7 linked regions of the Canis lupus familiaris genome follow. The protein of the gene in region 6 binds, or shares a complex with, the protein of the main gene of each other region. Links are inferred from orthologs where the notes say so. Each region holds a gene or a part of one and is shown on either strand. Other genes may lie near its edges. The genes, in order: GTF2E2, POLR1H, RRN3, GTF2F1, UBTF, POLR2H and TAF1B.

Region 1 (3,500 bases), on a different chromosome or scaffold from region 6:
GAACCCAAATATCAAATCTTCAGCTGGCTCACCGCAACCCCAAATATATATAATGGAAGCTTTTTTTTTTTTTTTTTTAGATTTTATTTATTTATTCATGAGAGACACAGAGACAGAGAGGCAGAGACACAGGCAGAGGGAGAAACAGACTCTATGCAGGGAGCCCAATGTGGGACTCGATCCTAGGACTCCAAGGATCACGCCCTGGGCCAAAGGCAGGTACTAAACCGCTGAGCCACCCAGGGATTCCCTATAATGGAAGCTTTAAAAAAAAATTTAAAAACACTTGCTGTTTCTTTTAAAACAAGACATTATTAATTCAAATTATACTAAGGCTTAGAAAGAAAAGAGAAGTTACCTTGACAGCTTTCTGGGAATTGGGCAGTCCTTCCTCTATGTCTTCTAAAAGAATTCCTCCTAAGCCTCGCTGGTCATGTTTATCTAACAGCCTAAGTAGGGCTTTCTTATCTTTCAAGTTGTATTTGGGCTTGAAGGCATACTTCCCATCTATTACTTCAATTTTGGGATTATTGACTAATGCCTGTAACAGTGACACAATTTGGATATATTAATAAAAGGAGAAACCTCATATACACATTCTTAAATTCTACTATTTAAAAAATACCGATACCCAATACAATTGTAAATTAAAAAGTATATTATGAATATCAACTAGCAGATCTAAAATACTGGACATCCAGGATCCAAAAACCAATAGGCAGAGAGCAGCATGTTACTCACTTTTTATGATGATACTTTTTATTATTACATTAATTCTTTAAAGGAGAAAAACCATTTCATCACAACTGATGTGAAGAAACTGTACCCATATTTTTTGGAAGATAAAAGAAGATAAAGAATCAATAAATGCCAATTAACATTAATAGACAAAGTGAACTGGGTACTGCCTATCCCACCCTCAAAGTACAGTTTATTATATATTGACATTATGTGTAAACATCACCCTGGGATGAATATACCAACAGTCTGCCCCACCTGGTATCAGATGGCAATTACAGGTGTGGAAGGAACGGAAAAGCACCAGACTAGTGCATACAAGAAATTTACCTATAATGGCAGCTTGAGAATGAAACTGAGTAGGAATGCAGGAATTATTGAATATAATTATATTCCTAGTCAGTTCTGCTGTACAGCTACTACCAGAAGGAAAGCTCTTCAAGGAAGAGCTACCCTATTTATTTTCTTCTGCAGCTGCCAGCCTGACCCTGAAAAGGAGAAAGAAAAGAAACATAGAAGAAAGGAGGGAGAACAGAATAGTAATAAAAATAATTTTTAACTAATTATTGGTAGCCTATGAAATTTCAAGATTAGGTAAAGCAACTGAATTCAAATGTGGATGACAACTATTTGTATATCACAACCACAACAAGCTATAATGTTACTGATTAGCCATTGATTTTATATTATAAAAATTAAGAACAATACTTTGCTCAGTAAAATTACTGAATTATACTTTAGGAATTTTACATTTGATCTTTAGAATACAACATGGGTCACAGAAAGTAATCCTAATTTTCATTTCATACTGAAAAAGAAAAGACTGAAATGTGTGAATTTTTAAAAATGCTATTTCCAAATTAGTAGGGCCAGTGATTATTGTGGGGTTTCTTTTTTTCCAATAATGTGTGTACATACACAATGTAAGGATGAGTTTTCCAAGTAATCTGTCAGAGTAACATCACTATCAACTCATAATAGTAGTCAGAACATAACAAATATTTCCCTAGCCCTACACTACCTCATAATTCAAATGTTCTAAAACATATATAAAAACAATATAATTCTAAATTTAGCAATTAAAAAAATATCAATTATCTGTAAAAACTTAAATGGAACCAGTACAATGACTGACTTCTTTATAATTCCATGCTAAAGGTCTTTGACATTTTAGATACATAAATTTTTAAGAAAATCAACAAATCAAACCACCTTAAAAAATGTGTATGTTTAAAAAACAAAGACCCTATACCAATTCTTTTAAGAATAAGTAAAAATAATTATCAGATTTCAGTATATTAAAAACCTTAGTTGTAATAAATATTTCATGGTAACCAACTAATTTTTTTAACTCCATTTTAAGCCTATTCTTACCTCAGTCATTAGCCACTGTTTCTGCTTGAGTCCTATATCTAAATGTTGTGTTTCATCCAAAATTTCTTCTAAAGTGAGAGGGTGTGTATCTCCTCGCTGATGCCGTGTCTATTGAGAGAAGAAACTGTTATTAGGAGACAGTTTTAAACTGCTAGATGCATTAAGTAATAGAAGTAAATGAATCTTTCAGGAATGTAGAACATGTATTATTTGAGACAATACAATTATAGTGATGAAGAAAATGGGACTATAAAATCAGAACCAGGTTCAAACTTGTAGCTCTTTAAAATCAAATGATAAACTGAGAGAAAATATTCTCAACTTGTATCACAAAGAGCTAATCCTCCTAATATTTTAAAAGTCCCAAAACCCTAACAGGAAAATGACCCACGGACCAGAACATACATAAATCACAGAAAAGGAAGAGGCACTGGGTGACTCAGTTAAGTGTCCAACTCTTGGTTTCAACTCAGGTCATGATCTCAGGGTGGTGACTGAGCCCCGCATTGGGCTCTGTGCTCAGTGTGGAGACTGTTTAGGACTCTCTTCCTCTGACCCCACCCCCAGCCCTCTCTTTTTCTCTAAGATAAATAAATCTTAAAAAAAAAAAAAAATCACAGAAAATGAATGGAAATAAACATATGAAAAGATACTCAATTTCCACCAAAATATTTCAAACCTATTACACTGGCAAAATCCATGTTTGATGACTCTGTCAGTTATAAGGAAACACGCCCTCCCAACACACTGCTGGTAAAAACGCAAATTAATACAACTCCTAGGGAACACAATTTGCCAATAAGAATGCATTTAACCCTTTGGCCCAGCAATCCATTTCTAGGAATGTACCTTACAGATAGATATGCCCACACAACTCACAATTAGTGACACAGTCACAGCAGCCCTGGTTGCAAAAAGAAAACATTAGAAATGACCCATGGTCATCAACAGAGGACTAATTAATAAACTATAGCACCACTACAATACTATACAGATGTTTAAAAAGAAAATGCAGGGGCGCCTGGGTGGCTCAGTCAGTTGAGTATTCAACTCTTGGTTTCAGCTCAGGTCATAATCTTGTGGGATTGAACCTCACTCAAATCGGGCTCTGCCCTCAGCAGGAAGTCTGCTTGAAGATTCTCTCCCTCCCACCCTCATCCCACTTGTGCCAGTGCGCATGCACTCTCGCTCTCCAAAATAAATATTGTCTTAAAAAAATAAAATGCAAATGTTCTCTACGTGCTAATAGGGAAAGATGTCCAGGACAAAGTATTGAGTTAAAAAACATATGCAGATGTGCAGCCACTGTGAAAACAACATGGAGGTTCCTCAAAAAGTTAGCAATACCATATAATCCAGTAATTCCACTGCCAGGAATTATACTTACC
Region 2 (4,094 bases), on a different chromosome or scaffold from region 6:
GTTCCAGCTCACACGTCAGACACATCTGGTTACGTTATCTGCTTATCTCCCAGCATCTGGGCTCCTGCTTTGTTTCCCTAAACTCAGGAACCAAATACATTTAGTCATGGAATACTTGTAATTACTTAAAAAAAAAAAAAAGATTTATTTATTTATGTGAGAGACAGAAATAGAGGCAGAGACATAGGCAGAAGCAGGCTCCCTATAGGGAGCTGGATGTAGGACTCAATCCCAAGACCCGGGAGATCATACCCTGAGGTGAAGGCAGATACTCATCCACTGAGACACCCAGGTGCCCATAATTACTTTTTATATTAGTCTCATTCCTGCCTCCATTTTTTGTCTTTGGTAGTTTCCTTTTTCCCTTTTCCTTCTCATACACTAATTTATACTATATTTTTTGTAGCTGATATACTTACTGAAAGAATATATTCTCTGTAAATCCATTTAAATTCCTTTTGGAACAAGACATTATAAATAACAGGTATGTCTGGCTTATATAGAAAAACGTAACCTTGATAAAGAAACTCAACTACAGTAGGTGTACTGTAGGGACAATGGTAATGCCCACATGATAATCTCTGTCTATGGGAGCAAAGCACTGCAACCAGGATAGACAAAGCATCTAAGAACCCAATATCCCTCACCTTTCAAGGAAGAGGGAGAACTGATAAGGTGCCCAGAAAGAAAATCAAGAGTCTTCCTTCTCCTGGAACCTATGGAGAAAGAAAGGACTCATTATATTTAGGCACAGAGGTTTTAGCAGTATAAGACAAACATTCACGTGAAAAATTAAGGAGGGAGTTTTATTTATGACATTGTAGATGACTAGCTCCCCGAAACAATCCTTCAAATTCAAGACAACTAAAAATCCTGGACTAAAAACCTAAAGGACAATGAGATAAAATCTCACACAGATCAAAATGGTTAAAAGTAATAAGTCAGGAAACAACAAATGTTGGCAAGGATGTGGAGAAGTGGGGAACCTTCTTGCACTGTTGCTGGGAATGCAAACTGGTGCAGCCACTCTGGAAAACAGTGTGGAGGTTCCTCAAGAAGTTAAAAATAGAGCTACCCTATGACCGGGCTGGATGAATCTGCACAACCTGCGACTGTTATCTTGGGGTTGAGTTCAAGCCCCACAGTGGATAGAGATTATTTAAAAACAAAATCTTAAAAAAAAAAAAAATTTATTTACTCATGAGAGACACAGAGAGAGAGAGAGAGAGAGAGAGGCACAGACACAGGCAGAGGGAGAAGCAGGCTCCATGAAGGGAGCCTGATGCGGGACTCGATCCCAGGACTCCAGGATCATCATGCTGTGGGCCGAAGGCAGGTGCTAAACCACTGAACCACCCAGGGATCCTGAAAGCTAGGTCTTGATAAGCGTGGTGAAAGTACAGAACACCGAAGACAAGGAGTTCTCAAATGGTTCAGGTCTCTCTGGTTCCTGAAATCACAGGTGATTCTCATAAAAGCAAGAGCACTGGAACAAGCAGCAGGATTCAACACGCAGACCACCCAGAAATACCTGCCTTCTCTCTGTTCTCACTCCTTTAAACAGCTTAAAAGCTTCGCTTCACTGGCTATAAAAAAAACTAACAAAAATGTTCTTTTTCAAAAATAAAAAAAAAACACAAATGTCCCTGTTACCTGAAAAGAGGACAGGACCAAAGGAAATAACCGGTTCTTGGGTACAAGAGGGAAGTCACAGGACATGTGTGGTTAAGGGCCAGAGGGAGAGGGCAGAGGGCCAGGGAGGGGGCACACCTGCAGCTGGTGCAGGTGTAGAAGACGGTCTGCCCCTCGTCAGCTGAGCGCATCTGTCTGGTGTGGTAGGCCATTCCCTCGTGACCACATCGGGAGCAGCGCCTGTCAACCTGGCAACCAAAGGGGGGGGGGGGTCAGGGAAAGCCAGGATGACCCCTGCTTCCTACAGGAATCTCGTTGCATGCTCTCCCCAGCACCCCTGCTCCAAAGACCTCTGTTTCCCCAGACCTCAGCACTCAACCCTGCAGCCCTTCCCGCTCTCCCTGTGGATCAGTGTTGGCATCACTCACTCACCACGGGTCGCTGGAGGTCGGGCTCCTCCTGCACACCCGTTACCCCAGACTCAGCACTCAACCCTGCATGTCTCCCCGCCTTCCTTGTGGGTCAGTGCTGGGGTCACTCACTCACCACGGGTCCCTGGAGCTCTGGCTCCTCCTGCACCGGCGCGGGCACCGCCGTCCCCACCTGGTTGAACACGATGCGGGTCCTCACCACCTTCCCCTCGAAGTCTGCGGAGCGGTAAGCGCTGGCTGCGGGCACCCCCGGACCCTCCGCCGCCCCCCGCAACCCGGCCGCTCCCGCCCCCTCCTCACCCCGCACGGGGACGCCGAAGCCACAGCGCACACAGGTGACCGCGTCCTGGGCCCCGGGCAGGGGCAGGACGGAGCCGCAGTCCGGACAGAAGTCCAGGTCCGACTGGAATCTGGAGCCGGAGGGCGCGGGGTCCATGGCGCAGAGGGTGCGACGGTGGGCAGCTCCGGTTCCGTCCAGGGACCCCGGCGGCCGCGAACCGAGCCCTCCTCCCTGGACGCGCGAGGCTCCGCGGGAGGACCGGCCGGCGTAGTGCGGTCCTCCAGGGCAGGTGAGAGCACCCGCCGAGCGGAGCGGGCTAGAGCATCCGCCGCGCAGACGCCCATTGGTCGTGACGTCACAATCCCTCGCCCAGACCGCAGTCCGCCGCGCCGGCGCCCTTGGGTGTAACATCACAATCCGGCGCCCAGACTGCTGTCCGCCTCGCCGGCTTCTGTGGGGTTGTGACGTCACAATACGTCGCCCCGACTGCTGTGCGCGGCGCTGGCGCCTTTGGCCGTGACGTCACAATCCGGCGCCCGGCGCCCCGAGAGCCCCAGAGCGGGGGTCGAGCGCCGTGGGAGACGGACGGAGGTGCCGACGCCGGGATAGGAGCTCGGGTAATGGCCGCTGCGCCTCCGGACACTCCATCAGGAAGAAGCGCAGTCCGGGGATACGTATTTTCTGGGACCCAACCTCGGGAGCGTTGCTTGTGGAGATGTTGCTGAGCTTCCCGAACGCCGCCGCGCCGCCCCGGAGCCAGTGGGCCCAGCTCCGCCCCGCCGGCCTGACGTGCCCAGGACATGCTCTAGGAGCGGGCGGGCCAGGGAGATGAGGGCGAGGGCCGGGGGCGGGGCGGGGCGGGGCGGGCGGCCCAGGCCCGGGGCTGACTTGGGGGCCGTCCCCCTCCGCCGCGCCCAGCGGGTCACCGGGGAGTGACGAGCACGGTTGCCGTTCCCGAGCGTAAGGCTCACGGTCGCTAGGGAGCCGAGCTGCGGCCGCTCGCCAGTAACCACCGTCTGCGGGGCACGAGGAGTTTCTGAGCCGCTGCCCCCGTGGCTCCCGTCCGCCTGTCCCCGCAGGACGTCGTTCTGTCCGGCTCGAAGGGGGCGGTCTGCCGTTTAGACCGCGAACGTTAAAATTAGCCTGTTAACCTCTTTGACTCTGCTCCCGACTCCGTGACCGTGCAGTGCTGCTCCACGCAGAGTCCAGCGCGATCCCGATGGGCCGGTGTCGTGAGGCCCGGGCCTTTCCAAGTGTCTGTGGAGCTGGGGCGGCACCGTTGGAAAGGATGCTGTGACCTCAAGGGGTACGAAGGACACGGTGGAACCCGCCACGAGAGACCCACACAGGGCCTAGGACTATGGTGTCTGCACCTCCAGGAGGACTCGCTGATGTTTCAGTAAAAACGTGGACATGGCACCTCAGGAGCAAAGGAGAAAGGTGCTCGAATACCAGCGACAAGGGAACCAGAAGATGAGTTCCAGAAACTGTTGCTGAACACAAACCGTGCTGGGTTGTGTTCTGAAAAGTAATAGGACGGTTACCTTTGTTAAATATCAGAATAGGTGTCCACGGACAGATAGGAACATAGGCAGGAAGTCAGTGAGATCCAATAACTGATACCAGGCTCATTCCAGTAACAGAGACACATCGTATTTGTCAATCTAAATTATAGATTACCTCCCGTTTACAGTCTAAATTTCAGCATGAAAGTGTTACAAATGATACAGGTATCACCATGGAAACCCTGG
Region 3 (3,500 bases), on a different chromosome or scaffold from region 6:
GATTCAGGAGCAAAGGCATTTTGTGACGTTGCGCTCCATGGACCCTTTTACTCAGCTTGCCAGGCTGTGTTCTACACTTTTGTTTTCAGACACAAGCAGCTATTAAGTGGAAACCTGAAAGAAGGTCAGTGATGTGGGATTGACAGATGTGAACTGGATTTTCCTGGGATGCCAGTCACTCTTTAGAAGGGAGAGTTGTTACTTTTTTGAGAATTTCGTGAAAACTCTGGAGTCAGAATAATGTCCATGCACTCAGACTTTGACCCTTATTTTCCAGCAGCCCTTGAGCTCCTAAAGCCCTTTGTAGCCCCTCTGGAGCAGAGGATGGACTTGAGGTTGAGCACTCCATTTTAGAGGGTGGCATCTAGAGTACTTGTGAACCGTGAAGATGTTGTTCGTAGAGGCGAGGCCTGGCACAGTGCTCCCTGCTGTCCTCGGGATGGCCCCTGAAGAGTAGGCATCATTCCCCCTTGTGGGGACTAGGCACACACAGGATATTGATTGGCAGGATTAGAGAATAAAACCAGATGGGTATGATTCTAAAGCTTGGGGTCCTAACAGTTACTCTGCTTTATCTAAGGACTTAAGCATTAATCTTCAGTTTTGCTAATTTCTGAGGGTTGTGTATATAATTTAAATCTACCAGATGAAGCTTGTTTATCAGGTTAGTGTGACAAGAATAGCATTAAGTCAACTTAAATGGTTTTATTTATTTGCATGAATAATTCAAGTGGTTTAATAAGCTGTTTCCTCTAAACCAAATGTTCTCAAGCTCTGACATTTGGGGCTGGTTCTCTAGTTGTGGGCTCCGTCCTGGGCATTCTATGATGGTTGGCACTCTACCCGCTAAATGCTGGTAGCATTAGGCCCCCCTCCCCCCACCAACTCTGTTGTGACAACTCAAATTCTCAGACACTGCCACATGTCCTCCTCGAGGGCACAGCTGCCTTAAGAGGTGAGAACCACAGCTCTGAAATTGAACTGTATGTGTTGATTGTATGTATTTACTTATATCCTGTTACTTCTAAAAAGATTAGGACTAGTTGTATAAATCAGGAGAAGGACAAGGTTTTAGCACAACGTAAGCAAAGTATTTTTTTTGTGTATGTAAATAAATGGTAAGATAGGTTGACAAATTGAATTTAAATTTTAAAAAATGGTAAGAGTCTTGGTTAAAGAGGATGTAGTTCTTGAAAGCCATGACATTTTTAGTTATTTTTATCAGAATATACATCAAAGATGGGGTGTCTGGCTGGCTTAGAAGAACACGGGACTCTGGATCTCTGGGTCGTGAATTCAAACCCCACGTTGGGTGTAGAAATTACTTAAATAAAACTTAAAATACATTAAAGAATCTCCTAAGAAAAATGTACTTAAGCATAGATTGGCTTGCTTGCCTTTAAAAATAAGTGTGCTTTCTTTTACTAATATAGGAGAGAACTATATTTACTTGTTCCAGGAGAGTGGTAGCTCTACCTCTGTAGTTTCCTTGTGAAAAAAAAAACACAACTGGTAAATGAACAGCTATTGCACACTTGAATAATTTGCTCAACTTCACTAATAATTTCAGACATTCAGGTCTTGCTGTTTGTTTGCTCTTGTCGGATTGGCATATTTATCTGTTTGTGGAAGTAAGGAAGGAGAAACTCCAAATTGTATAGTCACTACCTCTTGGGAATGGACACTGAGTGTTGCCTCAGCTTCGTATTGATTTCATGATTAACTGAAATCAAATCACGTGGGTTTCCCCCCCACCCTCTAAACTCAGGATATGCTGAGCTTACAAGTACCCAACTTCCAAATTGTCACAGAAGTTCATTGCTCACTACAGATGTGTGCTTACTTCCTGTGTCTTTGAAAGAATATGCTGTTTTCTTTAGAAAAGTTGACTTCGTCATAAGGAGGTGTGTGATTAAGCCTGGTGACATTCTGTGGGGCTCTGCATTGTGTGACTACATGGACCTCAGTTATTTAAAGCATTTCTGCAAATAACTGTGAGAATTTTTTTTGATGTGTGAGATAATCTGTGCTGCTTAAAGATACTTAGACTGTTATGTTTGTACTTTTAATAAAGTGTTTTGTTTTTTAATCAAAGGTTTGAGATACCTTCAAAGTCTAAATTTTGAACGTATAGTGATGAGTCAGCTGAATCCCCTGAAGATTTGTCTGCCTTCGGTAGTTAACTTTTTTGCTGCAATCACAAGGTAAGTAAGTTATTTTTACCTTACGGGGGGGAAACTATTTAAAAATATATTTATGGGGCAGCCCGGGTGGCTCAGCGGTCAGCGCCGCCTGCAGCCCAGGGCGTGATCCTGGAGACCCGGGATCGAGTCCCACGTCGGGCTCCCTGCACGGAGCCTGCTTCTTCTCTGCCTGTGTCTCTGCCTCTCTGTCTCCTACTCTGTGTCTCTCATGAATAAATAAAATAAAATCTTTAAAAAATATATGTATATATATATTTATGTTAGTGTCAGTATTGTACAATTCCCCTAAATTTCTATGAAATTATTCAGTAAAATTAATAACCATAAAACATGTAAAAACCAGTAAGCGTGTACTTGCAGGAAACATTGCAGTTAAGCTTTTGTTTTTTTATGATTTTTACAAAGATATTCATTAGGATGATAAACAGACGGGATGTGAGAGGGTTATGCCAGTAGGAGACAGGCTCTTACAGGGGCCGTCCAGTCAGGCCCATGACTCCAGGCCGTGCAGAGTAGGTGCTGTGTCCCTGCACACCTGGACGGGTATCACACTCAGCTCACTGTCCTCACCGTGTGAGGACTGTAGTGGTAAGCCCTGCTTAAAACGAGGAAAGTAGGGACACCTGGGTGGCTCAGTGGTTAGGTGCATCTGCCTTTGGCTCAGGGCCTGATCCTGGAGTCCTGGGATCAAGTCCTGCATCAGGCTCAGCATGGAGCCTGCTTCTCCCTCTGTCTATGTCTCTGCCTCTCTCTGTGTGTCTCTCGTGAATAAATAAATAAAATCTTAAAAAAAAAAAAGAAGGTGGAGACCCAGAGAGACGGGATGACTAATGAGAAGGGGCTCCCTGGTGGCAGAGCCAGCATGTGAACACAGGCAGTCTCTGGTCCTCTCCGAATTCTTCTGCCTAAAGTACAAAGTGAGATGGAGACTCTGAGCCCTTGATCAGAATATTCAGGCTAGGATCATGGCTTAAAATCTATAACAGCTAGGAGTCTCTTCTGGTACAAGACAAAGATAATTCTTTCATCATTTAATCCCCTTTAGATCACTTGCTGCTCTTACTTAGGGCCCTTATTTTTCTTTTGTTAGGCTTGTAGTTCAAGGTGTTCTGTCTCCTGAGGACTAGTTCTGGGGCCCGTCCTGAGATCTCAAAAATGATAACAGAATTGAGGAAAGGAATGAGCAAGCAAGAAGGTCTGGGGTGTGAAAGGCCCAGCACATGGCGGGAAGGTGGGAAGCAGCAGATGAAGAAAAGCTGAGACAGGAGCTCCTAGAATATTTGTGGGCTGGGAGCA
Region 4 (4,280 bases), on a different chromosome or scaffold from region 6:
CCCCACCCCCACCCCCAGAGTGATCAGGGATTTGGAAACACTCCACCTTCTCTGGGTAATTTAGGTGAGACCAGAGGTTGGGGGAGCATGTTAGTTTGTATATGAATGTGCATACGGCTGGAGATGCTGGGGGGCAGGCAGCCTACAAGGGAAGAGGGTGCCCTGAGCAAGCATCCACCTGCCCAATATCCAGAGGGACTAACGTCTCTTTCAAATAGCCTCACTTGCTCAACTAGATGAAGGGATGTTTAAAAACAGTCAAAAGACAGACCGGTGCTGAAAACAGGATGAGCAGCAGGAGCTGCCTGAAGCTGCCAACTTTAGACCTGGGCCAACTCCTGTGCTGGGCTGGTCCAGTCTCTGTGGCTTCAAATGCTGCCCCCAATGCCCAGATGCTCCCTCCCAGTCTCCCAACTCAGATGCTCCACTGCTTATTTACTGTCTCCTCCTGGGTGTCTGATATAAGATGTTGAGAACTGAACTCCCAATACTCTGTCCATCCGGCCCTGTCACCCGTCAACATCCAATCATTAACAAATCATGTTGGCTCCACTTTAAAACACACTAGAATCCACTGACTTCTCACAACCGCTGTTTGCTCCATGCCCAGTCGTCACTCACCTGGACCACCGCCGACGCCTCCACCCTGCAACACCCTTTGTCTGCCCCTGATCCTATAGCACCCAGATCAGTTTATAACTCCCCTGTTTAGAACCCTTTAAAGGTTTCTGCTATAGACTGAATGTTTGTGTTTTTTTTTTTTTTTTTTTTTTTTTTTTTTTTTTTAAATTTTTTTTTTATTTATTTATGATAGGCACACAGTGAGAGAGAGAGAGGCAGAGACACAGGCAGAGGGAGAAGCAGGCTCCATGCACCGGGAGCCCGATGTGGGATTCGATCCCGGGTCTCCAGGATCGCGCCCTGGGCCAAAGGCAGGCGCCAAACCGCTGCGCCACCCAGGGATCCCTGAATGTTTGTGTTTTATCCCAAAATGCATATGATGAAACCTAACTCCCGGTGTGATGGTATGGGGAGGTGGGGCCTTGAGAAGGGGATTAGGTCCGAAGGGTGGAGTCCTGGTGAATGAGATGAGTGCCCTCTTAAGAGCTCTCTCACCCCCTCTGCCACGTGAGGACACAGTAAAAAGACAGACATCTACGAACCAGGAGGCAGGCCTTCACCAGACCAAACATCTGCTGGCGCCTTGCTCTCAGACCTCCTAGCCTTCAGAACCGTGAGAAATAAATATGTGTTGTTTAAAAGCCACCCGGTCTGCGGTATTCTGCTGTAGCAGCACCCATGGACAGAGCTTCCAAAAACCATCTGCAGGCTGCAGCCCCCTCGGCCTTGCCCAGATGACTCTAGGCTGGAAATGCCCGTCAGGGGGCACAACTTCTAAATGCCATCCTTTCATGAGGCCTCCTGTGGGGCCTGCCCAATCTTCCTCACAGGGATCCCTAGCAGCTCAGCCTGGGCCTCAGTACATCGTCTTATCCCCACTCGGGGAGCGGGGTCGAAGCCAAGCCTTAGTTTTACCACTGTAACTAAGCGCCTATTGCAGGATCAGGTTCTTACGCTCACTCCCAACGGGGACTTACCTGATTCCAGGTAGCAAAGTTGACTTTGTCAGCAGCATTGAAGGCCATGATGTTGTATTTTTTCGTTGTGTTTCTGGGGTGGGCAAAAAGAGGGCTGCTCTCAGTTCACCGTTCATTTAACAAACCCTCCCTTGGCTCAGCAACGCTGGGGACCCACAGAAGCCCTCAGGGGTTCCCGGTCTCTCCCGACCCCTCTGCTGAAGAAGAGCAGGAGGGGAGGCATAAAGGTCGGGGGACGGGGGGTGCCCAAGGTGTGGGAATAATGGAGACCTCTGTCCTGGGGGCGGGGGCGGGGGAGGGCAGGCAGGGCATGTTTCCCAGAGGAGGAAGATCGTGGGGCTGGGTTTTATAGGACCGACAGGAGTCACAACGCCAGGGAAAAGGCCTTCCTGCCGAGAGAAGGCTAGGCCAGGGGGCTGCATCCGACGTACCGCCCACTAATGGGCTCATTCATTCATTCCGTTGCAAACACGGGATGCACCTCGCTCAACCCCAGCCCTGGGCCCAGGTCCCTGCTCCTCGGGAGGCGGCATCACCGGCGGCGCCAGGCTGGCCTGGGAGCTCAGGAAGCGGGGAGAGGGCTGCGGGACTTACTTGGGAACTCGGACGACATACTCGGTGACGTTCTGGCTGCTGGGGCCCTGCGGGCAGAGAAGGAGGGGCGGTGGGTGAGTGGGGGGCTGCAGAGGCGGCGCGCCGCGACCCCCGAGCTCCCCCGTGTACTCACGAGGGCCGCCATGGTGACGGTCGGGGGTTCGGGTCCGCTGCGGCCCGCGCCCCTCAGTCCCGGGGAAGCCGCCCGCGCGCCGTCGGGTCTCTGGCCCGGATCGAGGGGGCCGCTACCCAGAAGTCGGTCTTCTCGGGGAACCGCTCCGGCCGCGTCTGCGCCTGCGCCTAACCTGGACGTGACACTCGGGCCGCGGCGCGACGGCAACCTCCTCCGCGTCACCTAGCTCCCCGAGTCCCGCGGAGCGGACGGCCCAGACCGACCCCGACGCGGAAGACACCCCGGCTGCGGCGGAAGCCGCGTCGCGCCTCTCTATAAAGCGCGACTGATTTAATCAGCCTGTGGCCACGCCTCCTCGTGACATCACATCCGGGGGCCGCGGGGCGTCCTGGGAGAGGAGGGAGGAACCTAGCCTCCCTCGCGAGCTCTCGGGCGCCTCGCGCATGCGCCACTGCACTCCGGAAGTGAGTCGGAGGAGGCCGCGTCACCATAGCGACCGGGGCCTCTTAGTCCGCGCCGAGCTGTTGGGGCGCCGCCAGCTGCGCCCCTTTGGGTTCATTTCCTCCTTCTGCCCCGGGGAGACCTCATCGTCTCGCCAAGTGATCGGGCCCTTGTGACGTAGAGCCGAGCCAGGAGGAGGAGTCAGGGCCCGGGTGGGGATGGGGCGCGACCACCCCAGGGCCGCTGGTGGGATGGGTCTGTGCAAGTCCAAGCTGCCCGAGGTGGGCAGGCCCCTGCGACCCCAGGAGAAGGGTAACGTCGCAGGGGCGGCTGGCTCACGGGGCGGGGGGGAGGAAGGAGGCCGTGAAGGGCACGAGGGAGGTGCAGGTACCCCACACCCCAGGCCGGTGTGCACACGCCCCGCCCCCCACCCACCGAGCTGCACGTGCTCGAGGATCAGCCGCGCTTTGATCCGCTTGGGCACCTGCTGCGCGGGGTTCTGGGCACTCCACGGCGAGTATGTCACACTAGCTGTCCGGCCTCCAGGAGATGACAGTGTAGACAGGGAAGGAGACAGTCTCAGAAAAATGGGATCGGCGAGCAGGAGGGAGCAGGGCTGCCACGGGGAGAGAGGAGCCGGCTCTGCGGCCCCCAGGAGAGGGGAGGTTTAAAGTTTACGTTGGGCCCTGTGGGATGCCTGGGAATTCACTAAGCCAAGCGGGAGGGAAGCAAGACACGGAAATTGCATTATCGACTACTGCGCTGCCTTAGAGACGCCTGGTAGCCACGCACCTTCGTTTGCTCATCACCCGCTACCGCACGTCAGGGACCGTGGCAACTGGTAGAAACCCGGGGACCAGCAAGACAGAACTGGTCCTTGCCCTCCCGGAGCACAGAGTGTGGCTGGGGAGACGGACAAGAACAAGGAAACAGGCAAAATCCTAGCTGACCGTGGCTGCTGCAGTGGAGGAAATGTGGCCCTGGGACGGGATGATGCGGGGGGAGGTCGGGAGGGGAAGCCTGATGGGCGGGCGGGTGGGCTGTGTCCTGAAGGCGGCGGAGCAGGGACTTGGCGTGCAGGGGGAGCAGCGGGAGAGGGATGAGTTTGGCAAGTTCAAGGGACAGAAGAGGCCAGGGGGGCTGGACCAGAGGGAAGGAGGAGGAGGGCGTTGTGGGATGGCCCAGAGGGGGCGCAAGTCTGAGCCTGTTTCCTCAGCTGTCAAACGGGACAATCGAGTCATTGAGGTTTTCAAGGAGATGCTGTGTGCAGAGGGCATGGCCTGCTCGCAGTCTGCATCCTCTTCGCAGCCCCCCAAACCCGCCCCTGTAGCAGCGCTAACCCGTGCCCTGTGTGGATATACCACTGGGCATGGATGCACACCCCCAGATGCCACCCTAGGGCAAAAATGGGTAATGCCAGGAGACCCGTGTCCCGCGTCACTCACCCGAGGACACACACTAGGCTGTGGACACAGACACATCGGTGCGTGCTGGCCCCTGCAGGCACCAAACCC
Region 5 (2,687 bases), on a different chromosome or scaffold from region 6:
TGGCCAACATGAAGGACGTGCCCAGCACTGAGCGCATGGTGCTATGCAGCCAGCAGTGGAAACTGCTCTCCCAGAAGGAGAAGGATGCCTACCACAAGAAGTGTGACCAGGTAGGTTGTGCTAAAGAGGACGTCTGGAGACCCTTGGGGCCTTGGGAGTATCTGACCCCAACTAGGGGTCAGTCAGTGGTCAAACGTGTCTCAAACACCTGCTACAAACTTCGTCTAGTCTGCTAGGTTTAGCATCTGGGCTGATCAAGCCAGATGGCCCCCAGGCTGCCTGTCTAGTGTCTATAGAAGGAGATTAGGCCCTGTCCAGGCTCCGAACATTTTGTAGAAGGCTCTTGTCCCTTGGGAACGAGCAGGTATGTGCCCACACTGACCCGGACTCCCCTTCTTTCCTAGAAAAAGAAAGATTATGAGGTGGAGCTTCTCCGTTTCCTAGAGGTGAGTGTTCTCGTAGGTGGGGCATTGGGCAGAGGCCCTGGGATTAAGCAGGGCCCTCTGGACTACCTGGGAGGAGCTGGCTCCCAGGTGCGCAGCCCCATGCCACGTCTTGTCTCTGGACCAGAGCTTGCCAGAGGAGGAACAGCAGCGGGTCCTGGGGGAGGAGAAGATGTTAAGCATCAACAAGAAGCAAGCCACCAGCCCCGCCTCCAAGAAGCCCTCGCAGGAAGGGGGCAAGGTGGGCAGGGGGCACAACGGGCGGTGGTGGGGGAACATGGGGCTCCCTGTCCACACCCCCACGGACCCGACCTCTGTCCACCGACAGGGCGGTTCAGAGAAGCCCAAGCGGCCGGTGTCGGCCATGTTCATCTTCTCTGAAGAGAAGCGGCGGCAGCTGCAGGAGGAGCGGCCCGAGCTCTCGGAGAGCGAGCTGACCCGTCTTCTGGCCCGCATGTGGAACGACTTGTCCGAAAAGAAGAAGGTCAGGCTTCGGGGGCTTCTCCCCCAGGGGCGGGCCACACTTCCTCAGCCACGGCCTGCGCTTTAGCCCTCCCTTAGCCCTCCCTGTGCCTGGGCTCAGGTGCCGAGGGGGCCCGCAGCTCCGCAGCATCCCGGGGAGCAGAGCCGGTTGGCGGGCTGAGCCCCAGGCCGAGCCCCAGGGGGGGACATCTGCGCCGGCCCAAGCCTCTGCCGGCCCCGCCCTGCCGGGAGAGGGGGGGGTGCCTCCACTGTGGACGGGGGACGCGCGCCCCCTGGGGGCGGCCGGAAGGATGACGCCCTGCCGGCCCTCCGCAGGCCAAGTACAAGGCCCGGGAGGCGGCGCTGAAGGCCCAGTCGGAGAGGAAGCCAGGCGGGGACCGCGAGGACCGGGGCAAGCTGCCCGAGTCACCCAAGAGAGCCGAGGAGATCTGGCAGCAGAGCGTCATCGGGGACTACCTGGCCCGCTTCAAGGTGGCAGGGAGCCCGAAAGGGGTTGTTCAGTGGCCTGCCCTCGCGGGCCGGTTCCAGCCCCAGGTGACCCCTCCCATAGCTGATGCCTCTGTTTCTCTCCAGAATGACCGGGTGAAGGCCTTGAAAGCCATGGAGATGACCTGGAACAACATGGAGAAGAAAGAGAAACTCATGTGGATTAAGAAGGCAGCCGAAGACCAAAAGCGATACGAGGTGGGAAGAAGGGCTCTGCTGGTCAGCATGGTGGCCCCTAGGGAGCTGGGGGTCAGAGCACCCTTTTGGGCTGGCAGCTGTCCTCAGTGGGTGGGCTGTGGAGCTGGGAGTCCCAGCCTTGGTTGTGTGACCCTGAGCAAATCTGCCAGCTTCCTTCTCTGAGCCTCAGTCACACATCAATCAGTACATGGGGGCTGTGAGACCAGTCATGTGAGTGTAGTTGTGACAGCACTTCCAAGCAGGGGCGCCTGGCCCAGGTGTGACCTGTTAGGACGTAGCTCCTCCGCTCGGCCTCAGTTTCTTTTTTTTTTTTTTTTTTTTTTTTTTTTTAAATTTTTTTTTTAACTTTTTTTATTTATGATAGTCACAGAGAGAGAGAGAGAGAGAGGCAGAGACACAGGCAGAGGGAGAAGCAGGCTCCATGCACTGGGAGCCTGATGTGGGATTCGATCCCGGGTCTCCAGGATCACGCCCTGGGCCAAAGGCAGGCGCCAAACCGCTGCGCCACCCAGGAATCCCTCGGCCTCAGTTTCTAAGGCAACTGATGGCGTGGGGCAGATGGTAGAAATAATTTTGGGTGAGGGGTGGAGTGAGCGTGACTCCTTTGAGTGTCCCCACAGAGAGAGCTGAGTGAGATGCGGGCACCCCCAACTGCTGCAAACTCATCCAAGAAGATGAAGTTTCAAGGAGAACCCAAGAAGCCTCCCATGTGAGTCTAAGGGGGCTAGAACCCACCTTGGCCGCAGGAAGGGTCATGGCTGGATGGCTGTAGGGTAGGCGTCCTAACCCTCCCTGTGCCACTCTACCACCTAGGAACGGTTACCAGAAGTTCTCCCAGGAGCTGCTGTCCAATGGGGAGCTGAACCACCTGCCGCTGAAAGAGCGCATGGTGGAGATTGGCAGCCGCTGGCAGCGCATCTCCCAGAGCCAGAAAGAGCACTACAAAAAATTGGCAGAGGAGCAGCAGAAGCAGTACAAAGTACATCTGGACCTCTGGGTCAAGGTGAGAGGGCTGGGGTGGGGGTACCTGGGTGGCTCAGTGGTTGGGCATCTGCCTTTGGCTCCGGGTGTGATCCT
Region 6 (4,264 bases):
CTAAATCACACCCTTTGGGCTCAATCTCTCAGGAGTGACGCCTTCTCTTGCTTCTGGGGGTGGGGGTGGGGGGGCGGGCAGCGGCTCAGACGGGCCTCGCAAGGCCCCTCTCTGCTCCGTCGAGGGTGAGAAGCAAAGCTGGAGGGACTCGGAGGGGGACGCTAGGCCCAGAAGGCGGGGGTGAGGACGTGATGCTCGGAACTGAGACCCTCCCGTGTCTCTCATCCTCTTCCCTCCTCCTCTTCTCCAGGGTTCCTCTTCTAGGAAGTCACACCTGGAGCAACCTGGCCTGCGGGGTGTACGGGGTGGAGACAGGGAGGAAAGGTGAAGGGGTGAGGCCCGAGGGGAGAGATGTCTAGGTGCTGGCGAGGAGGCTCCTGGAAGGCGGGCGTGGGGGTACAGAGGTCGTTTTTCCCTGGCGGGGCCCAAGGAGAAACTCGAGTAGCTGCTGACGTCTCGCCGCCACCTGGGGATCTGTGTTCTCTCTCAGGGTCTGGAGAAGGATGGAGCAGAGGGTGGGGTGAGCACAGGGTGGATGGACAATGTAGGAGAGAGCGTGTTAGGGGAGAGGCGGGTGCCCAGGACACGGGCAGTGTGCGGGAGGACGCAGTACCAGGATGGAGGGGCCCGCGGGAGGCAGAGGCGGTGCCCAGGAAGGGGCAGTGTGAGAGGAGCGGCACCCAAGAGGAGGGGGGGCTCGTATCCGTGGGAGCGGACGGTGCCAGCCTGAAGGGGCACGTAGATCAGCGTCCAAGGGAGAAGGCGGGGGGGGGGGGGCAGGTAGTACCAAGCTGCAGGGGCAGCGCTGTGTGATGGGGTTAAACGCCAGCCGTCAGCCGGGCTGAAGAGGCGGAGTGGAAGAGAGTGGGGCCCCGGGGAAGAGGGCAGTGGTAGGGGGGTGCTGTACCAGGGGAAGGGACGAGCGCAGGCTTTCCTCTTCCCCATAGTGACATCATGGCAAATTCCCAAACGGGACGGAGCCGGCTCGGGTGACATCCAGCAGGGCCAAGCCGGTCCAGCCCGGTCCAGCCCGGTCCAGCCCGGGCCCGGCTAGGAAGCCTCGGTGCCAGCTGTGGGGACTGGGCTCTGCGCCCCGCAGGGTCAGCGCGCTGGGGGCGGAGTTCCGCCCCGTCCGCCCTCCGCGTGGACTGTGCCCTCGGCGGGCACGCAGACCAGCAGGGGAAGGTTTGCGCCGGGCTTCTCCGGGCCAAGGATCAAGGTCCCGGGCTGGGGTAGGCCCGCCCGCATTCCAGGCGTCCCGACCCGGCCTCTCAAGAGGGCGCAGCCGAGCCTCCGCGTACAGCGAGACGCCGCGCCGCCTCGGCTGGAGGTGGAACTAACCGGGTCCCCGCCCCGGGGCGGAGCCACCCGGCCCCGAGTCCCGCCCCCCACTCCCGAGGCCTCTCGGAAGGCGTCGTTCGGGGCGGAAGTCCGCGAGCCCCGAGGCCCAGGCGGCGGAAGTGGCGGCGGCGCTGCCTGCCCGCGCGCATGCGTGTTTCTAGGGCTCTGCGGCCGCTCTCTGGGCGCGCGCTCTCCTTCTCTCCTTTACTCCACGCGAGGGGGAGCGCGTACCCCTAGGCGTGGTCGCGCTCCCGGCCCCTCTCGTACTCTCGTGGCCACCTCACCATGGCGGGCATCCTGTTTGAGGATATTTTCGATGTGAAAGACATTGACCCGGAGGGCAAGAAGTTTGACCGAGGTAAGGTGGAGGTAGACGTAGGGGCGGCCGAGTCAGGGGGTAACCTCCTCGGGGACACGCCTGTGGGCCCCTGGTCCACCCACGCCGCGTGGCCCGCCCCTGCCGGCAGTTCCTGACTCAGGAATCCCCATCAGGAGACCTTGGATCGATGGGAACTCGGCGTCTCCCGAACTCCGCCTGGCTCCACACAGGCTGGCCCGGTGCCTGGGTGGCCCGTTCTCATGGTGCTGGTGCACCCCCGTGCATCTTCCAGTCGCTCCCCACTCTGCTGGGCGCTGTAGCGTGCACCTTACACACACTTCGTCCTGCCCAGTTCTCTCAGGAGCCTCCATGAAGTAGTTGGTGTCTTACCCATTTTGCCCCGAGAAGTTAAGTAAGCTACCCAAGGCTGCACAGTGACTAGTCCGACTTCAGAGCCTGTATTCTTGTATTGTCCTGAGAATCTCTAGCCCTTTGTGACATCCGCTCTGAATTAGGATTGCTGCTTGCCATACAGCTCTTTATTCTGCCGTTGATCAGACTGGGCCTCCTTGGGGGTCTCTTCTTTTGTCCAGAGACTGAGATGTTCTTCAAGACAAACACCAGGTCTTAACAGTCCTGATAGTCCACTCAGCACAGCAGCTGGCACAGAAAGACAAAACTTTTTTTTTTTTTTTTTTAAGATTTATTTATTTGATAGAGAAAGCAGAGTGAGAGCGTATGAGTGAGGAGGAGGGGCAGGGAGAGAAAGAGAGACAAGCAGACTCCCTGCTTGAACAAGGAGCCGGATGCGGGGCTCCATCCCAGGACCCCGGATCACGACCTGGACTGAAGGCAGATAAACAACTGGGCCACCCAGGCGCCCTGAGACAAAACCTTTGGGGGGATCCCTGGGTGGCTCAGCGGTTGAGCACCTGCCTTTGGCCCAGGGCGTGATCCTGGAGTCCCGAGTCGGGCTCCCTGCAGGGAGCCTGCTTCTCCCTCTGCCTTTGTCTCTGTCTCTCTCTCTGTGTCTCTCATGAATAAATAAATAAAATCTTTATAAAAAAAAAAAAAAGACAAAACCTTTGGATGAATGAATAACTTGTCTAAAGTCAGGTTGTTTGTTAATCACCTAGGCAGGCCTAGAACCTGGATATTATTTATTGCCAGAGGGACCTTTGGTTGTTTTCTGGGATTCTGTCCACTTGCCATAGTTTTCACTCCTTTCCTTCTGGCATATCTGGTTCTCATTGAGTCTGCACTTCTTTGAGAGCAGACGTGAGGCTAGTGGATGCAGATGGGGTTCGAATGAGTGCTCAATTGCATGTAATCCCCCAAAGTGGGGTCTGCAGGGTCTGCAGAGCCTGGCAATTACCTATGCCACTCTTTCTCTACCTCCCTCCAGTGTCTCGGCTACATTGTGAGAGTGAATCTTTCAAAATGGACCTGATCTTAGATGTAAACATTCAGATTTACCCTGTAGACTTGGGTAAGTATTGAACACAGACAATAGCAGAAGGCTTTTTGACATTTCAGCTGTTCTTTAGCCTCTGGTATTGCCATGATTTTCAGGTGACAAGTTCCGGTTGGTCATAGCCAGTACATTATATGAAGATGGTACCCTGGATGACGGTGAATACAACCCCACAGATGATAGGCCTTCCAGGTGAGGAAGTGAAGTACTTCCCTCTCAGGAAAGGAGTACTTGAAATACGCTTGAGGACTAAGTAGATAAGTGGTATAGGAAAAAACCCTTATTTAATTTGTGGAATAAATGATTATCAGTAGTATCTGAGCAACCTTAAGGAAATTGCTGCACTTAAGAATTCAATGGGGATCCCCAGGTGGCTCAGCGGTTTAAGCGCCTGCCTTCGGCCCAGGGCATGATCCTGGAGTCCCTTCGGCCCAGGGCATGATCCTGGAGTCCCGGGATTGAGTCCCGTGTCGGGCTCCCTGCATGGAGCCTGCTTCTCCCTCCGCTTCTCCCTCTGCCTGTGTCTCTGCCTCTTTTTCTCTCTCTCTTTCTCTCTCTCTCTGTGTCTCTCATAAATAAATAAATAAATAAATAAATAAATAAATAAATAAATAAAATCTTAAAAAAAAAAAAAAAGAATTCAAACAACCAGGTAGCCTGGATGACTCATGGCTCAGTGGTTTAGCGCTGCCTTCAGCCCAGGGCTTGGTCCTGGGGACCTGGGATCGAGTCCTGGGTTGGGCTCCCTGCATGGGGCCTGCTTCTCCCTCTGCCTGTGTCTCTGCCTCTCTCTCTCATGAATAAATAAATAAAATCTTAAAAAAAAAAAATTCTAACAACCAGGTGTTTTTCCAGGGCAGCAATTACATGCTTGTGGGTTGTACCTTATCGATGGCTAAGGAGATGACCATCAAGTGACCCAGGCTATGTGAGCCTTGCGTCTTGGGAGAGAGTTTGGTGTGATGGAAGGGCTTTGGAGCTCTACTGAGTTCAAATCTCAGCCCTATCAGTTCTTTGTTGAATGGCTTTAACCTCTTGCAGCCTCAGTTTCCCCATCAGTAAAGTGCAGATGATCACACCTTGCTCATATGGTTGCTGGGAGGACTAAATGGCATTGTGTTTGGAAAACG
Region 7 (4,065 bases), on a different chromosome or scaffold from region 6:
AAATCTAGTCCCTGCTACTCCATCTTGGCCAAAAGCAGAAGTCTACACAGTTACTTTTATCTGTCTCAAATTTGCCTTTCTTAAGTCTATGTGGTAAATGTAATATTTGTTCTTTCCTGGCTTTGGAGACTTTGAGCAAATCTTTTTCCAAAGTGGAGCCCTGGCATGTTTACCTGTCCAATAGCTGACTGTCCACACCCTTGATTATTTTGGTTATATTGCCCTGAATGTGTGGTGATTAGAACAGGACCTAACACTCACTCCCAGTGTGAAGGGGGCCTCATTTACCAAGGTTATATCAGACAGTATGACAATCTCTAGTGTAAGAGGCAGGTGTGATGGGGTAAAATGAGCACTGTAGTCACAAGACTCAGGTTCACGTCCTGGCTCAACACTTTATACTTGTGTGACTTTGGCAATCTCATTCAACTCCTGAGCCTTACTTGCCCCATCCATGGATTGGCATGGTACTATATCTCACAGGTGTTTATGAGGAGGAAATGAAATAATGAATAAGACTTTGTAATTTCTAAAGTACTGTACAAAGATAAAATGATAATGAAGCATATTTCCAATATTCCCGTCTTCAATCTTTACAACATTCCATCTTCCAAACCTCTAAGCTACCACAACACATAAAAACTTATATAGGTATTAACAAATAAAGAGAAATGCATCACCTTATAAGTACAATTTTAATTATTTTCCCTTATATTACACAGTCTGAATCATGAAATTATTTATAAATGCAGCCCAACATCTTTTCAAAAACCCATCCTAAATCTAATTCCTTAACTCACGTGTAAACACTTGAAGACTACTTACGTTCTTGGAATTTGGGCAGTACATGAGTGACAATGATTATTTGGGAACTAGGCTACATATCAGGCTAAAATAGCAATTTTTAAAACATTAGCAGACTCATAAATGATCTATATTACTTACTTCTGTAACGTTGTGGCAAGAAGTGCAATAATATTTGCCTTCATCAGTAAGACCCCAGGAGACAGCAGCACACTGAGTACATCTTTCCTTGAACTCTTTCTATAGAATATAGAAAAGCTGTTACTATCAAGCCATATTCAACACACTGCACCTAAACCCTGCAGTTCTACTTAAAGGGTTCCCTGGAATTTTAACCTACAGATTAAAAGAAAAAAAGGAAGGAAGGAAGGAAGGAAAGAAGGGAGGGAGGGAGGGAGGAAGGGAAGGGAAGGAGGGAGGGAGTGAAGAAAGAAAAATGTATCCAAGAGATTAACTATAAACAAAGAGAAAGAAAGAAAAATGTATCCGAGAGATTAACTATAAACAAAGAGAATAGTTCAGTCTTTTGAATAGTTTGAAGTGGAATTAAATGATTTAAAAAGTTTCTAAAACACAGTGTGTGAAGGGGGAAAAAGAGGAAGAAAAGGTGGTAGGGGTAAAATGGGAAAAAAGGATGAGTTACTAAAACTGCAAAGTGCTGTGAGAAAAAAAAAAGAGGACAAGATTTAAGTAAAGACAAAACCTTAAAAATAAAAACTGCAAACCATTTGGAACTTTCTCAATGATACTAGAAACACATACAGCAAAAGAACCAGATTTTTATTGGGGTTGTTCCGAGTTTCGATTTATTCATCCAGCAATATAAGGAGCATCACCTGTGTACGCACGAGGCATTTAACTAGGGGCCGGGGATTCAGCGGTGAGCAAAACAGACGTGATCTCTACTCACAGCAAACACGGGCTAATGGTGAGATACAGTCACTAATTTCATTAACCCAGCACGTACGGACGTTAGCCTCCATCATCCAACAAACATTTATTGAGCATCTATAACAAGTAAGGCCTTCTATCACCCTAACGCTTCTGTACCTACACAGGCAGACCCTAAAAGGATGGGTCTTTGACCTTCTCTTTGATCTAATTGCCGAATACTCCTTTACCGCAGCACAAGAGAGCAGTGGTTGGCGCAGTGTGTCAACAACAACAAAAAGGAATGCGGAGGGGCACCTGGGTGGGTGGCTCAGGGCGTGACCCCGGGGGGTCCTGGGATCCAGTCTCGCATCAGGCCCCTCCCTGCAGGGAGCCTGCTGCTCCCTCTGCCTGTGTCTCTGCCTCTCTCTCTCTCTCTCTCTCTCTCTCTGTGAGTCTTGAATGAATGAATGAATGAATGAATGAATGAATGAAATCTTTAAAAAAAATGAACCCGAATTTATTTCAACAACAATCAATAAATAAAATCTTAAAAAAAAAAAACCGAACCCGAATTTATTTCAACAGGCCGGTGAAGTGTGCGGTGCCCGCGTCCTGATCACCTGGATAAATTACCCTGGAGAGTTTGGAATCACCGGACGGTGGCGGGGATGCCGAGGGACAGTTGCGGGGTGGCTGGGGGGGGGGGGGGGGGGGACTCAGGAGCCAGCCCGTCGGACCCGGCTCTCCCACGCCCACCCCGCCGTCCAAGGAAACTTGCGGGTGGCCCGGTCCAGAGGGGATGGGCCCGTGGGTGGCCACCCCATAAAACCCACAACTCCGTCCTCCTCCAGAAACACACCCACGTGGACGCCCCGCCCTCCCTCACCCCCACGCTCACCGGGCCCGAAACGCCGGCCTCTGTCCCCGAAGCGCGCGCCCCCCCCCGCCCCGCCCCGGCCGCGCCAGCGCTTTCCCCGCCCCGCAGCCTTCCGCCTGCCCCGCTCCGGCCCGTGCTCACCGCCTCCTCCAGGTCCATAGCGGTGGTGGTGCCGCCGCCGCCGCCCCCCGGCCGGGCCCGTTACCCGGGCAGCGAGCGCAGCTTCCGGGAGCGCCGGAAGGGGCCCGCCGGGCGGAAACCCAGACCGCGGCTTGGGGTTCCGGGCGCCTGGGGCTGCGGGTTCGTCTCCGCGCGCTGCGGGGAGCAAGCCCCGCGCGCCCTGCAGCCCCAGCCCAGGCTGCTCTCCTCCGCCCCGGCGACCGCCCTGCAGCCCACGTCGGAAGGAGGCCGCTCGCGCCTCCCGCTGAGCCCGCCGGGTCCCAGCGTGGACGCCGCCGCCCCGTCGGGCTTTCACAGGCGCGGGAGCGGCGTGGGCTCCGGGAGGGAGGCGCGCGCTCGCGGAGCTGGGCCCCGTGCAGGCCCCGTGTGGGCGCCCTGGGCCTCGGTTTCCCCCGCCGTCAGACTCGGCTACTGGCTGCCCCGGGTAGTTGGAAGCTGGGGGAGGAGTCTACACCGTCTGGCCCCTGCTTTCAGCCCGACGCTCGAGGGGAGAAGAGTCCGACCGGGGCAGAGGCAGAGGTGGAGAGAAGGCCAGGTCCGCGGGGGCTTGCGCAGGATGAAGGTGCGGGAGACCGCGGGAAGCTCGGACATTCTGGAGATGCGGGCTTCGAAGGGCCACGAGGATGCCCGACGGGCGGGAGGAGAGAGAGGCAGGGATGACCGCAGGGTCTCGGGCCTGAGCGGCCTGAGCGCCTGGGAGGGGTGAAGCCCGACTGAGCAGGGCCAGGCCGCGCGGGGACAGCGTGGGAATCGGGGAGAAGAGGAAGCAGGAGGCCCAGGTAGGATGAGAGGACAGCTTGATCAGGGAGCCGAGCGCTCCCAGGTGACGTCTGGACTGGGAATGCTCTCGGCCTCGATGGTATTTAAAGTCCTGAGACTTTCGAGATCATCAAGAGACTGGCTCTTCGCGGCGCCTGGGTGGCTCAGCGGTTGAGCATCTGCCTGCAGCCCAGGGCGTGACCTGGAGACCCAGATCGAGTCCCACATCGGGCTCCCTGCAGGGAGCCTGCTGCTCCCTCTGCCTGGGTCTCTCGTGAATTAAATAAATAAAATCTTAAAAAAAATAAAAATAAAAAAAGACACTGGCTCTTTATTCACTCACTCCTTATTTGCTTGTCTATTTATTTATTTCACAGTTATTCAACATCCACTCTACGCCAGGCACTGTGCCAGCTATTGGGAAATGAGAGGACAGAGTCCCTGCCTACAAGAGCCATCCAGTCCAGTGCAACAGTCGGTCACATTATTTTATCATGGCACTAGACAAGTGTTCTGTCCAGTTGTGTCACCCATGTCATTTGCCAGGCTTGCCTCTGTGCGACTTGAGACTC

The links.
Region 1: POLR2H (region 6) and GTF2E2 share a complex: the UniProt entries of both Homo sapiens proteins name them as parts of the TBP-based Pol II pre-initiation complex. The link is inferred for Canis lupus familiaris from reciprocal best matches to the Homo sapiens genes POLR2H and GTF2E2.
Region 2: POLR2H (region 6) and POLR1H share a complex: the UniProt entries of both Homo sapiens proteins name them as parts of the pol I pre-initiation complex. The link is inferred for Canis lupus familiaris from reciprocal best matches to the Homo sapiens genes POLR2H and POLR1H.
Region 3: POLR2H (region 6) and RRN3 share a complex: the UniProt entries of both Homo sapiens proteins name them as parts of the pol I pre-initiation complex. The link is inferred for Canis lupus familiaris from reciprocal best matches to the Homo sapiens genes POLR2H and RRN3.
Region 4: POLR2H (region 6) and GTF2F1 share a complex: the UniProt entries of both Homo sapiens proteins name them as parts of the TBP-based Pol II pre-initiation complex. The link is inferred for Canis lupus familiaris from reciprocal best matches to the Homo sapiens genes POLR2H and GTF2F1.
Region 5: POLR2H (region 6) and UBTF share a complex: the UniProt entries of both Homo sapiens proteins name them as parts of the pol I pre-initiation complex. The link is inferred for Canis lupus familiaris from reciprocal best matches to the Homo sapiens genes POLR2H and UBTF.
Region 7: POLR2H (region 6) and TAF1B share a complex: the UniProt entries of both Homo sapiens proteins name them as parts of the pol I pre-initiation complex. The link is inferred for Canis lupus familiaris from reciprocal best matches to the Homo sapiens genes POLR2H and TAF1B.

The regions. Positions count from the first base shown.
Region 1 is NC_049237.1:34,561,308-34,564,807, reverse strand, and holds part of GTF2E2 (transcription initiation factor IIE subunit beta), read right to left. Parts: intron 2,221-3,500; coding exon 2,113-2,220; intron 542-2,112; coding exon 359-541; intron 1-358. UniProt on the Homo sapiens protein: Recruits TFIIH to the initiation complex and stimulates the RNA polymerase II C-terminal domain kinase and DNA-dependent ATPase activities of TFIIH. Both TFIIH and TFIIE are required for promoter clearance by RNA polymerase.
Region 2 is NC_049256.1:27,778,227-27,782,320, reverse strand, and holds the start of POLR1H (DNA-directed RNA polymerase I subunit RPA12), read right to left. Parts: upstream 2,801-4,094; 5' UTR 2,755-2,800; coding exon 2,364-2,754; intron 2,280-2,363; coding exon 2,179-2,279; intron 1,881-2,178; coding exon 1,771-1,880; intron 717-1,770; coding exon 692-716; 3' UTR 648-691; intron 78-647; 3' UTR 1-77. UniProt on the Homo sapiens protein: Core component of RNA polymerase I (Pol I), a DNA-dependent RNA polymerase which synthesizes ribosomal RNA precursors using the four ribonucleoside triphosphates as substrates. Can mediate Pol I proofreading of the nascent RNA transcript.
Region 3 is NC_049227.1:28,745,348-28,748,847, reverse strand, and holds part of RRN3 (RNA polymerase I-specific transcription initiation factor RRN3), read left to right. Parts: coding exon 1-124; intron 125-2,095; coding exon 2,096-2,204; intron 2,205-3,500. UniProt on the Homo sapiens protein: Required for efficient transcription initiation by RNA polymerase I (Pol I). Required for the formation of the competent pre-initiation complex (PIC).
Region 4 is NC_049241.1:54,168,236-54,172,515, reverse strand, and holds the start of GTF2F1 (general transcription factor IIF subunit 1), read right to left. Parts: upstream 2,801-4,280; 5' UTR 2,338-2,800; coding exon 2,326-2,337; intron 2,240-2,325; coding exon 2,193-2,239; intron 1,672-2,192; coding exon 1,599-1,671; intron 1-1,598. Other genes in the region: adenylate kinase isoenzyme 1-like, read left to right, coding at 2,985-3,078. UniProt on the Homo sapiens protein: TFIIF is a general transcription initiation factor that binds to RNA polymerase II and helps to recruit it to the initiation complex in collaboration with TFIIB. It promotes transcription elongation.
Region 5 is NC_049230.1:19,061,984-19,064,670, forward strand, and holds part of UBTF (nucleolar transcription factor 1), read left to right. Parts: coding exon 1-110; intron 111-404; coding exon 405-446; intron 447-570; coding exon 571-684; intron 685-771; coding exon 772-927; intron 928-1,241; coding exon 1,242-1,397; intron 1,398-1,499; coding exon 1,500-1,610; intron 1,611-2,230; coding exon 2,231-2,319; intron 2,320-2,423; coding exon 2,424-2,613; intron 2,614-2,687. UniProt on the Homo sapiens protein: Recognizes the ribosomal RNA gene promoter and activates transcription mediated by RNA polymerase I (Pol I) through cooperative interactions with the transcription factor SL1/TIF-IB complex.
Region 6 is NC_049255.1:17,408,546-17,412,809, forward strand, and holds the start of POLR2H (DNA-directed RNA polymerases I, II, and III subunit RPABC3), read left to right. Parts: upstream 1-1,464; 5' UTR 1,465-1,626; coding exon 1,627-1,699; intron 1,700-3,065; coding exon 3,066-3,149; intron 3,150-3,232; coding exon 3,233-3,326; intron 3,327-4,264. UniProt on the Homo sapiens protein: DNA-dependent RNA polymerase catalyzes the transcription of DNA into RNA using the four ribonucleoside triphosphates as substrates.
Region 7 is NC_049238.1:6,879,370-6,883,434, reverse strand, and holds the start of TAF1B (TATA box-binding protein-associated factor RNA polymerase I subunit B), read right to left. Parts: upstream 2,801-4,065; 5' UTR 2,714-2,800; coding exon 2,696-2,713; intron 1,045-2,695; coding exon 946-1,044; intron 1-945. UniProt on the Homo sapiens protein: Component of RNA polymerase I core factor complex that acts as a GTF2B/TFIIB-like factor and plays a key role in multiple steps during transcription initiation such as pre-initiation complex (PIC) assembly and postpolymerase recruitment events in polymerase I (Pol I) transcription.